2 linked regions of the Drosophila melanogaster genome follow. The protein of the gene in region 1 interacts with the protein of each later gene in a pairwise test. Each region holds a gene or a part of one and is shown in the gene's direction. Other genes may lie near its edges. The genes, in order: CG13603 and wat.

Region 1 (3,895 bases):
TAAAAAGAAACCAGCAAGGCTGCGGCTACAACATAGATCGGTGTATCCGAATGCAATGGGTTTCAACATAGCGCTTACAATCTTTTCTGTTTTCATTATGTTTCTCATTCGAAATTGCTTACGGATCTGCCGCTTAAGTATTTGAAGCATTAAATGGTATATTTAGTAAAAGACGCTCATCTCACGCGCGTTTTTGGAGAATTTTTGAGGGCTTAAAATTGATGCTGGAGATATAATAACTCATAACTTGAATTAAGCGAGCGGCCGCCAAGCTGGGCCAAACTCAAAAGCTAGCAGCAGCAGGAGGACGACGGCCATCAGGCCTGCCCTAAGCCAGGATCATCGCCTCGCCGCCGTCCTGTCCAATTGTTAGCACTGCACCTTGCCGAACTGGGCGCGACGCTCCTGGTACTCGCGGTACTCCTTGTAGTGCATCTGGATCTCCTGCGAACGGTAGCGCGTTAGCTTTATGGACTTCCTCGTCTCCGGAGTTATGGCAGCCCGATAGCCGCCCTTCCGTAGGAGTGAGTCAATGGTCTGCAGCTGGTCCCAGCCCTGTTCGGTGGCCACCTGCGGCAAATAGGTGGCTGTGCGCTTGCAGCCGCGTTCTGTGAGGAACTCGATGCGGATGCCATGGACGCCCAGTTGCCAGTCCAGGTGGCCCTGAGCCTCCTCGAAGTTCTGCAGAATCGAGACCGAGACAGTTAGCCGTGGCAACTCATCTCTAGAGATAGGTGCAAATCTAGAGTCCTTAAAGGCGCTGGTCAAGGCGTACTCCCGAAGACCATGGTGCAGTTCCATTGCACTAAAAGTACCAATGCAGCCACGCAGCCTCTTGTCACGCCCAATCTTCCAGGTGACAAAGAGTGGGTAGGCGTCGTTGCTAAACACCGGCACCGATGGACCATCGACGTTGTTCAGCTCACAGTCAAGCACCTCGAAGCAGAACAGGCACATGTCTGGCACAGCGACGGTCTTCATGCCATGGCCGTTGGAGAACCGTTGCGGCTGGTGCACCATCTGCTGGTGCTGGTATTCCGGATCTCCGTTGCTGGAGTGCGGCTGCTGCTGCTGGTAGTTGTTGTAGTGGGAGTTGGACATGCTGTTCTGTGTCAGAACTGGTTCACTAATTACGTTAGGTAGGTATATTGAGGTTACAACTAATGGCAGTGCACGTTGATGCTCTAAGTTCAATTAACACAACAGAACAGCCCCAGTAGGAGTTGCCACAGAAACGCTGCCGCCAGTCCTCTAATCGTCTTCTGAAAATCGGTGGTGGTGTTTAATGCTGGTCTCGAATTCCAAGGCCTTGGCTTACCTGCTACTGCGTAAACTAGGTCACCTGCTGCCCTCCAGTTTGCGCTGACCTCTAGCCTGTGATTCCTGGCTCCCTGCTAACTGATCCAGACCTCGTCCCCGTGTTCCTTGGCTGCCGTCCTGCTGCTAGTTAGCTCATAAGCACCTCATTGAATTGCGTCCGCTGATCCGCTGATGCGTCTGCAAAAGGTCGTGTGCGAGATAGACAATAGAGGAGGGTGCTCTTAAATGGATTTCCATGTTAATTCGCCCGAGCGATCTTCACCTTAGGTTTCACAACAGCCTCTATTGGAAAATTCGGGGAAGTGGGGAAAATCGGAGGAGAAAGCCCCCCTCCTCCTATTGCATTAATTGCTCTTTGTTCGCCCTGGCTGTTCCCCCCACCCCCCGCACTTATAAAGGGCTACGCGCCACACATGCACACGGCCCTTTGTCTTGGCTGACCCATCTAGGAGCCAGGGAGCACCGTAGGTAGCCCTCAAGAACAATATTTTACCTTTTTTCAATGTAAACAAATTTTACACTTTTTTACGAGTTCAGTGGCGAACTAGAGATGGCTTAACGAGAATGATGGCCCCAGGGTGTATATATCGATAATTGCGCATACCAATGCAGGCAGCTGCAGGGTGCTGTCCAACACTGCTTATCGATAACACCAAAAGTGCATTGCCGTGTTTGTCTGAATATTGTGGAGTTTCATTTGTTTTTGTTGAAATCAAAAGCAAAATGGCTTTGGCCAACGTGCTGCAGCTAAGCCAGATAGCTGGCCATGTCATCCTGTTTATCCTGTCGCTGTGCATCGTCGTGCCATTGTTTATAAACCTCGACCAATTCTGGTAAGTGCGCAGTTCCTCTTTGGTCCCCTGTAAATTATTGAGTTTCTTTATTCTATTTTCCCACAGTGGCCACTGCCTGCTCTTTACAACTGGCAAATGGCGGGAGGAGGACGGCATGTTCGATGTCCAGTGGGCTTCCAATGGCTTCTGCAACTTTCCCCTGATTACCGGGTTCTTCCTGCTAATTATTTCGGTGGTGCAGATTTATAGGTATGTATCTTGTGGGTATTATTCGGGGTTTTTGACATCTAGAAAGTGAATTTCTTTGCCAAATAGATACGCCCGCATGAAGGAGGAGGCCTCGTTTATAGCTCTGTTCATTGACGTCGTTCTGGGCATTTGGATGCTGGCTATGTCCATTTTGTCGGCTATTTTCATTACCCTGGGCTTTATTGTCTGGTGCGATTCCATGACCGAGAGATTCCCATCCTGTGCCATTTCCGCCGGTCAGAACATTATCCACGGCGACACGGAAAAAATTAACACCTCCGGATTTTACATTGAAATGGGAACCACTCAGGTAAGATGATACAAAAAAAAAATTCTCATCTATTTTTTTTTTGCTTTCTGTGGCAATTCTGAATGTTTGATTACGTATACGTAATATTTTATATTTTTATGTAAAACCAAATATTCAGTTGTGCATGCGAAATTAAGTTAATAAACTCTTTTAACCACTTCTATTGATTTTTGTTACAGTTTGGCGCATGGGGTTCATTCGCAATTTCCGTTGGCATCGCCGTCATCGCCCTTCTGAAACTGATCGACAACCACCAGGTGCGCAACATCAAGGTTTCCATGTACTTGGAGCGACAGCGGTTGGTGAATCAGCAGCAGTACGACGGCAGGTCGACCCCGCCGATCGTTTCGAACGCATCCTCCGACACGGAACAGAACAAATAGTTGACGTTTGTGATCAATCAGCAGCAGTTTGTAATTCTCTACGTATTTCTCATCATGTGCGTTATAATCATTGTATGTCATTTCGTCCTCGTCCTTATCATTGAGGCAGACAACCGGCAACACACATTATCTTTGTAGTGAAGGAAACTAGAGATATTAGCCCTATGTATTAAGCCAACATACGTGATATGTAATGTATATATATATATATGTATTTAATTAATTATTCCATGTTACAAATATAGTAAAACCAAATTATTAATATTTCTGAAATCATTCATTTATAAAGATACTTACGTATTGCGGATCATCCCCAACAATCCCAAGCATTCGAAATGAAACAATCAATGCAACATGTTATGTCAGTTACATTTATTTTGCAGTTATCTTCTGTGTTGTGTGTGTTTTCTTGTTGTTGATGTCATTCGAATCTGTCGTAATGTCAAACGGATTTGGGTTTGGATTTCACGTTTGCATTGCAACAAAATGTTCTTATAGACTTTAAAGCGACGCTATTGTACATTTAATATTAAATTCCGTATTTGCTTGCGTAGTCTGTTACAATTCAATTAAAAATTTCTTGATCGCACGGCATTTAGCCCCTGATCGCTGTATTTTTGCGTCTAAATTCAATCTTTGCCTGCACCGAGTTTGTTTCTTAAATGTGGAGCAAAAATGGTGGAGATTTACTTTTGGTATAGAGAAAAATAGTTACTTGTACATTTACGGGCTTTGCAGCTGAATCTCATCGATACTGTATCTGCATCTACGACTGCTTGGAGTTTGGTATCGGTATTCTGTTTTTCTGTTTTCTGGCATTCATGAAACAATTTCCTGGG
Region 2 (4,961 bases), 5.0 Mb from region 1:
TTTGCTCATTGCAAACTGTCCGCCTACAAATCGTAACTTTTTATATAATGGAGCCCCGAAATCTGCATAAGTAAAGAGGCATTTCAAAGCAATTACACAGCATAAATAAAGGCATCAAACAATCTGCAGGCCGTTGTACCTCGAAAGTGAAGTAATTATACATCAAAAGCGAATCATGTCATTGTCAAGTGTTTGAACAGAGCTGAACAAGATCGGATCATACCTGAAAAGTGTGCACTTGAGTGTCTTTTGATGGGGCCACCATTAATATGCAGTGTCTTGATCGCGAATATTATTATTTTAATTTCGTTATTTCGCATTTGTCATTAATGGGCCTTTTGTTTCGTTTTCGTACAGCGTTTGTGCGAGAGATATTCGAGTTTATAGACTCTTTGAGCTTGGCTCTGGTGTGAGAAGATACTGCGTCAAGATACAGATACAGATGGGATCGGCGACAAAACATGCTGGGAACTACGTGATTGATGGCGGCACTGCGATTACCAGCCGAACAGCTGAACAGTACTGAACTCGACTTAGAATACTCGGCCCAGGCGAATATATTATAAATGCTGGGATATATGCGAAATCAGTGAAATCTTGTCGCGTCTAAAAAGGAAAATCACACAGCAAATGCAAAATTTATGAGCGAACTACGTCGAACGACGTCTCCGGGCGAACGGAGCAGGAATACCAATTGGGCTGGGTTTTCGATTGGGATTCGTATAGGGATGGAGCGGATGTGCACTGCACTCGAGGATGAGTCAGCTGAGCCGGAGGTCCGTGTGGGTTCAGCCCTGTCAGACAGATCAAACTATAAAGACAGGGTCCAGGTTCGCCGAATGTCTTTAATTAGCCAGCACGGTTTCAGAGATCTCATCTAGTAATCACTTTATTTACCAGACACAACTTGGGGTCAGCATGATAATCATATGCTATCATCACTTAATTAACAACGGAATTTTTTATACAAGATAAAAGAACATACATATAATGCAAAGTAATCCAATACATTTTCGGTTAATCATTTTGCACTTCTTAACAATCATAATGATAATCCGAAAATTCAATCGCTATGTATTCAATTATATGGAGCCTCATAATATATGATATATGTACACGCTGCGTATGAGTAATATTTACAGTTCATCTCGAAATCTTTGCTAATATTTTGAGTATTCGTCATCTTCGTTGGAATGATAACTACTAGTATACATTGGGTATGGGAATATTCAATTTTGAAACTCAACTGAATAAGGCAATTGTAAAAGATACTGGCGTAATCTTTGATTACCAGCACGTTTTGTTAATTGTTTATTAAAGATGCTTTGGAACCTTCAAAATGCTCCATTTAATAGGATGAATGGCAAGCTGTAAGCTAAGTAACCGGCGCTATTTTAACCCAAGTGACCAGCGCTTAAGTGAAGTCCGATGTACATATACCGCAAATATATCTCAAATGCTTCGGCTTTACGAGGCTCCATAAAATTGGATCATAACACTGGCAGTGTCCGAAAGCGATGCTCAGGTGCGGCAAGTTAGTACGACTATGTACATGTGTACACTTCAATCGCCAGTCCAAACTGCGCCACTCAATTTGACTTGATTTTTTTTTTAAGTTTGGCTTACCGCCCACAAAACGCCGCAGTCGCCGTCGCAGTCGACGCCACCGTCGCTGAGGCGCTGAGCCGCTGAGCCACCAAACCGCTGAGCCGCTGAGATGCCAAGCGCACCACCATCGAGCCGCTGAACGGCGCCGATCCACGGACTGAGAAGCCGCCGTCAGGTGTTGTGGTTTTTGCGAGCCTCAATCGAGCTGAGTCTGTTTTCGTCTGCCTGGCAGCGCGGTTCTGGAACGCGTAACGCTCGCATCGACTTCAAAAGTTAGTTTTCAAACTCGGGACTCAATTCGCTGGATATACAAAACCGATTCGGTTCGGATCGCGGTGCGCTCCCAGTTTTTCCACCTGTTGCAACCAATTTGGCATCGCTCTTTTCGCTACTCTTGTGCAACAGCGCGTGCTGCAGTTGTAAAGCGCGTTTGGTTAGAGAATTTTTATATATTTCGAAAGTGGCAACTGAAAAAGATAGAAAACCAAGAGATATATCCCTGTATGCCAGCGAGCAAGATTCGTTTTGGCAGATCCACGAGCCCTCCAATTAGCCAGCAATTTGCGGAAAGCCACTCCAATCCAATCCGTGGCCGTGGGATCTGTGCCTGTGCAGCCAGCAAATCGGTGAGTCTTGAATTACATGGGATTATAGACAATCTGCTCTGCTATCCGTATACCTGGTAATCGTATGACATATGCCATTACGTATATGCTAGGCACTGTAGGTAGTGGTGGTGGTAATGTAGCTGGCGTTGATGGCTTTCTAAAAAAAATACCCATATACCCAAATACCCAAAACGGGTTGGATTCGCTCCGCAGGTGCAGGAGGGGCCGACGAAGAGCTCATAGCCAATTGCCAGCACACAGGCATTCACGAAAAAATGTGTGAAATTTCATTGAATTTCCCAAATTTAATACACAAACAAACCCACTCGGCAATTGGGAAATAACTCATTGTTTTGCCATTGCAATGGCAAAAGAGTTACGGCTGCCAAAGAATCGATAATCGCCAGTTGGATTATTATATTACTCCCGTGGTCTTTGTGTATTTCAAACAAGTTTGCATTCATTCGTATTTTATATATGGCCAAACCCAAAAAATAATTGATTAGATTGGGAAAAACATTCATTACTGGATCAAGAGCAGTTCGATCAATATTTAAATTCCCACTTAGCAGCTCACTAATTTGGCAGAATAAATAATATTATCTGTGACATTTGGTTTTACAAATCCGTGACTAATTGTTCTGTGCTGGCTATAAAAGAAATTACTTGATGCTCAAAAATATACAAAAATATACATACCTTTTGTAAAAGAGACTAAAAGGCCAGAAGAGGATTTTAAATATTTAGAAGATACGCATTTCAGTGAAATGTCGCAATAAAAATGTGTTGCATTAAATATTATTATATTACGTAAATCATATTTCAGCTGCGCAGAAATGTGCAATTTGCCTCAGCTTTACAAGCCATTTAAAATCCGAACTCAATTAAGCGATGTAATTTGGAAATTAAAGTTCATAAAGAATTTAAAGAGTGGACGCCCCCAAGCCCTTTATACAACAAATACTTTCGTTGGCCAAATTTAAATGGCAATGAAATGCATTCAATGAAATATGCATGAGAATATCATCATATCGTGCTGAAATGAAACAGAGTTTAAAAAATCGATTTGTGTGCCACAATTAAATGGGCCTCAAGGATGCAATTAAAGTATCTAAGTATCTGTGCAGGAAAAACCCAGCCAACTCTTTAATTGAGGCGAGACGAGAAAATAGTGCTAAACTTCATGTCATAGCGATTCAATTAATTCGCAATTTATCAATTTTCAGTGCCAGGGCTTTTTGATGCGGCCAAACATATTTCATTTGTCCACCACAAACAACTGGTATTCCAGTTCGGATGCGGATGGGGATTCGTTGGGAGTTCGCTTCGGGATCCGTGGGCGGATGGCTCTGGTGGCTCTGGTGTTCCATGTTCCATGTTCAGTGGGCTGACGTGGTGGGGCGTCAAGTGGAAAATAATCGATGATGTGCCCGGGCACAATGCAAACATTGAATCAAAGTCAAATAGCATTAAACTTTTTGAACTTGCGAGGCGCGGCGAACATAAAAAAAATGAAATAATAATAAAAGTTTGCCCGCCTTCCAAGAGGCGTGAAAGCGCACACAAAAAAGTGGGCAAGCGGGGTAGGGGGTTTTTTTTTGGGTTCCTGGGTTTTTGGGACTCGGTGCTGCAGTTTTGGATCTCCCTTTCCAGAGATTTAGTGCTTTTCTTTTTTTTGGATGGATAAGCGCAGCGTTGCGCAAATATTTGACAAATCCCGCGAAAAGTCTGCTTATGTTGTCACCTCGCCTCGTTGCCATTTCTATCCAGCACCCAGGGAATGGAATGGGATAACTGGGATGGGATGCGATGGGATTTGCAGTGTGACTGGCACTGGGCCAGTCATGCTGATTAGGATTGCACCGAAAGACACTTGCCACTTGCCACTTACCACTTTCAACGTGCGACAATGTTTTCGAATTGAAATCCGAATCGGAATTTGCATGCGAATGCTCGCGGTGTAATTTATATTTCGCACTTGGCGCACTTTTCATTTCGCTGCGCGATTTTGTTTATGCAATTTGGCCAACTGCCTGCCGAATGCCAAAAGGAAGGCAAACGCCTCAGGCTTCAGGCTTCTGGCTAACGAGTGCAGGCGCGTGTCTGTATCTATATCTGTATCTGCACCTCTATCTGTATCTGTATCTGTATCTGTATCTGTATCTGTATCTTGTGGATAGGGAAGACCCCCCGAGATTCCCATATAGCAGGTGAAGGCGAACGTAAATGCGCCAATTTGTATGCAAGCAGCATTAATCGAGGGGTAATCCGGCAGCGATGCATTGCAGCCAGTTAAAGCCCAAGCCCAAGCCGATTCCGAATCCAAATCGAAGTCCAAAGCCAAATCCAGAGCCAGAGCCACTGCGTTTCGACCTGGCCAAGAGGGGCCGACATTACGTGAGATGTGCAATTGCACGAAATTGATTTGCAATCGATAAATGTGCGAATATTGCTTCTGCTGCGAATTAGCAGCCAAACAGCCAAACGGCCAAGTGTCCAAATGGCCAAGATATCCGAAGGCGCTCTTCGCCTTGCATTTTCCAGGCGTGTTTAAGTATGCATAAATAACTCATCGGCCGCCTGACCATGAATCCAATTGGGAACATCTTCATTTAAATTGTTTAGTAGCCGAGCAATGCGGCTGAGTAATGTTTGCATTGTATCTGCATCTGTGCCTCCGGTATCTGCACATTTTTCAAGCTGCCAAGTGGCAACGTTCCTAAATAAAGGTATGTTTTGAACATA

What was found.
Region 2: the proteins of CG13603 (region 1) and wat interact in a two-hybrid assay, tested with the Drosophila melanogaster proteins (one large-scale study listed by BioGRID).

The regions. Positions count from the first base shown.
Region 1 is NT_033777.3:23,984,634-23,988,528, reverse strand, and holds CG13603 (uncharacterized protein), read left to right. Parts: upstream 1-1,959; 5' UTR 1,960-2,043; coding exon 2,044-2,153; intron 2,154-2,219; coding exon 2,220-2,363; intron 2,364-2,429; coding exon 2,430-2,673; intron 2,674-2,852; coding exon 2,853-3,056; 3' UTR 3,057-3,316; downstream 3,317-3,895. Other genes in the region: CG5902 (uncharacterized protein), read right to left, coding at 370-1,101.
Region 2 is NT_033777.3:29,017,296-29,022,256, reverse strand, and holds the start of wat (waterproof), read left to right. Parts: upstream 1-1,850; 5' UTR 1,851-2,234; intron 2,235-4,961. UniProt on the Drosophila melanogaster protein: Catalyzes the reduction of saturated fatty acyl-CoA to fatty alcohols. The preferred substrates are C24:0 and C26:0. Necessary for the final stages of tracheal maturation, to facilitate the transition from water-filled to gas-filled tubes.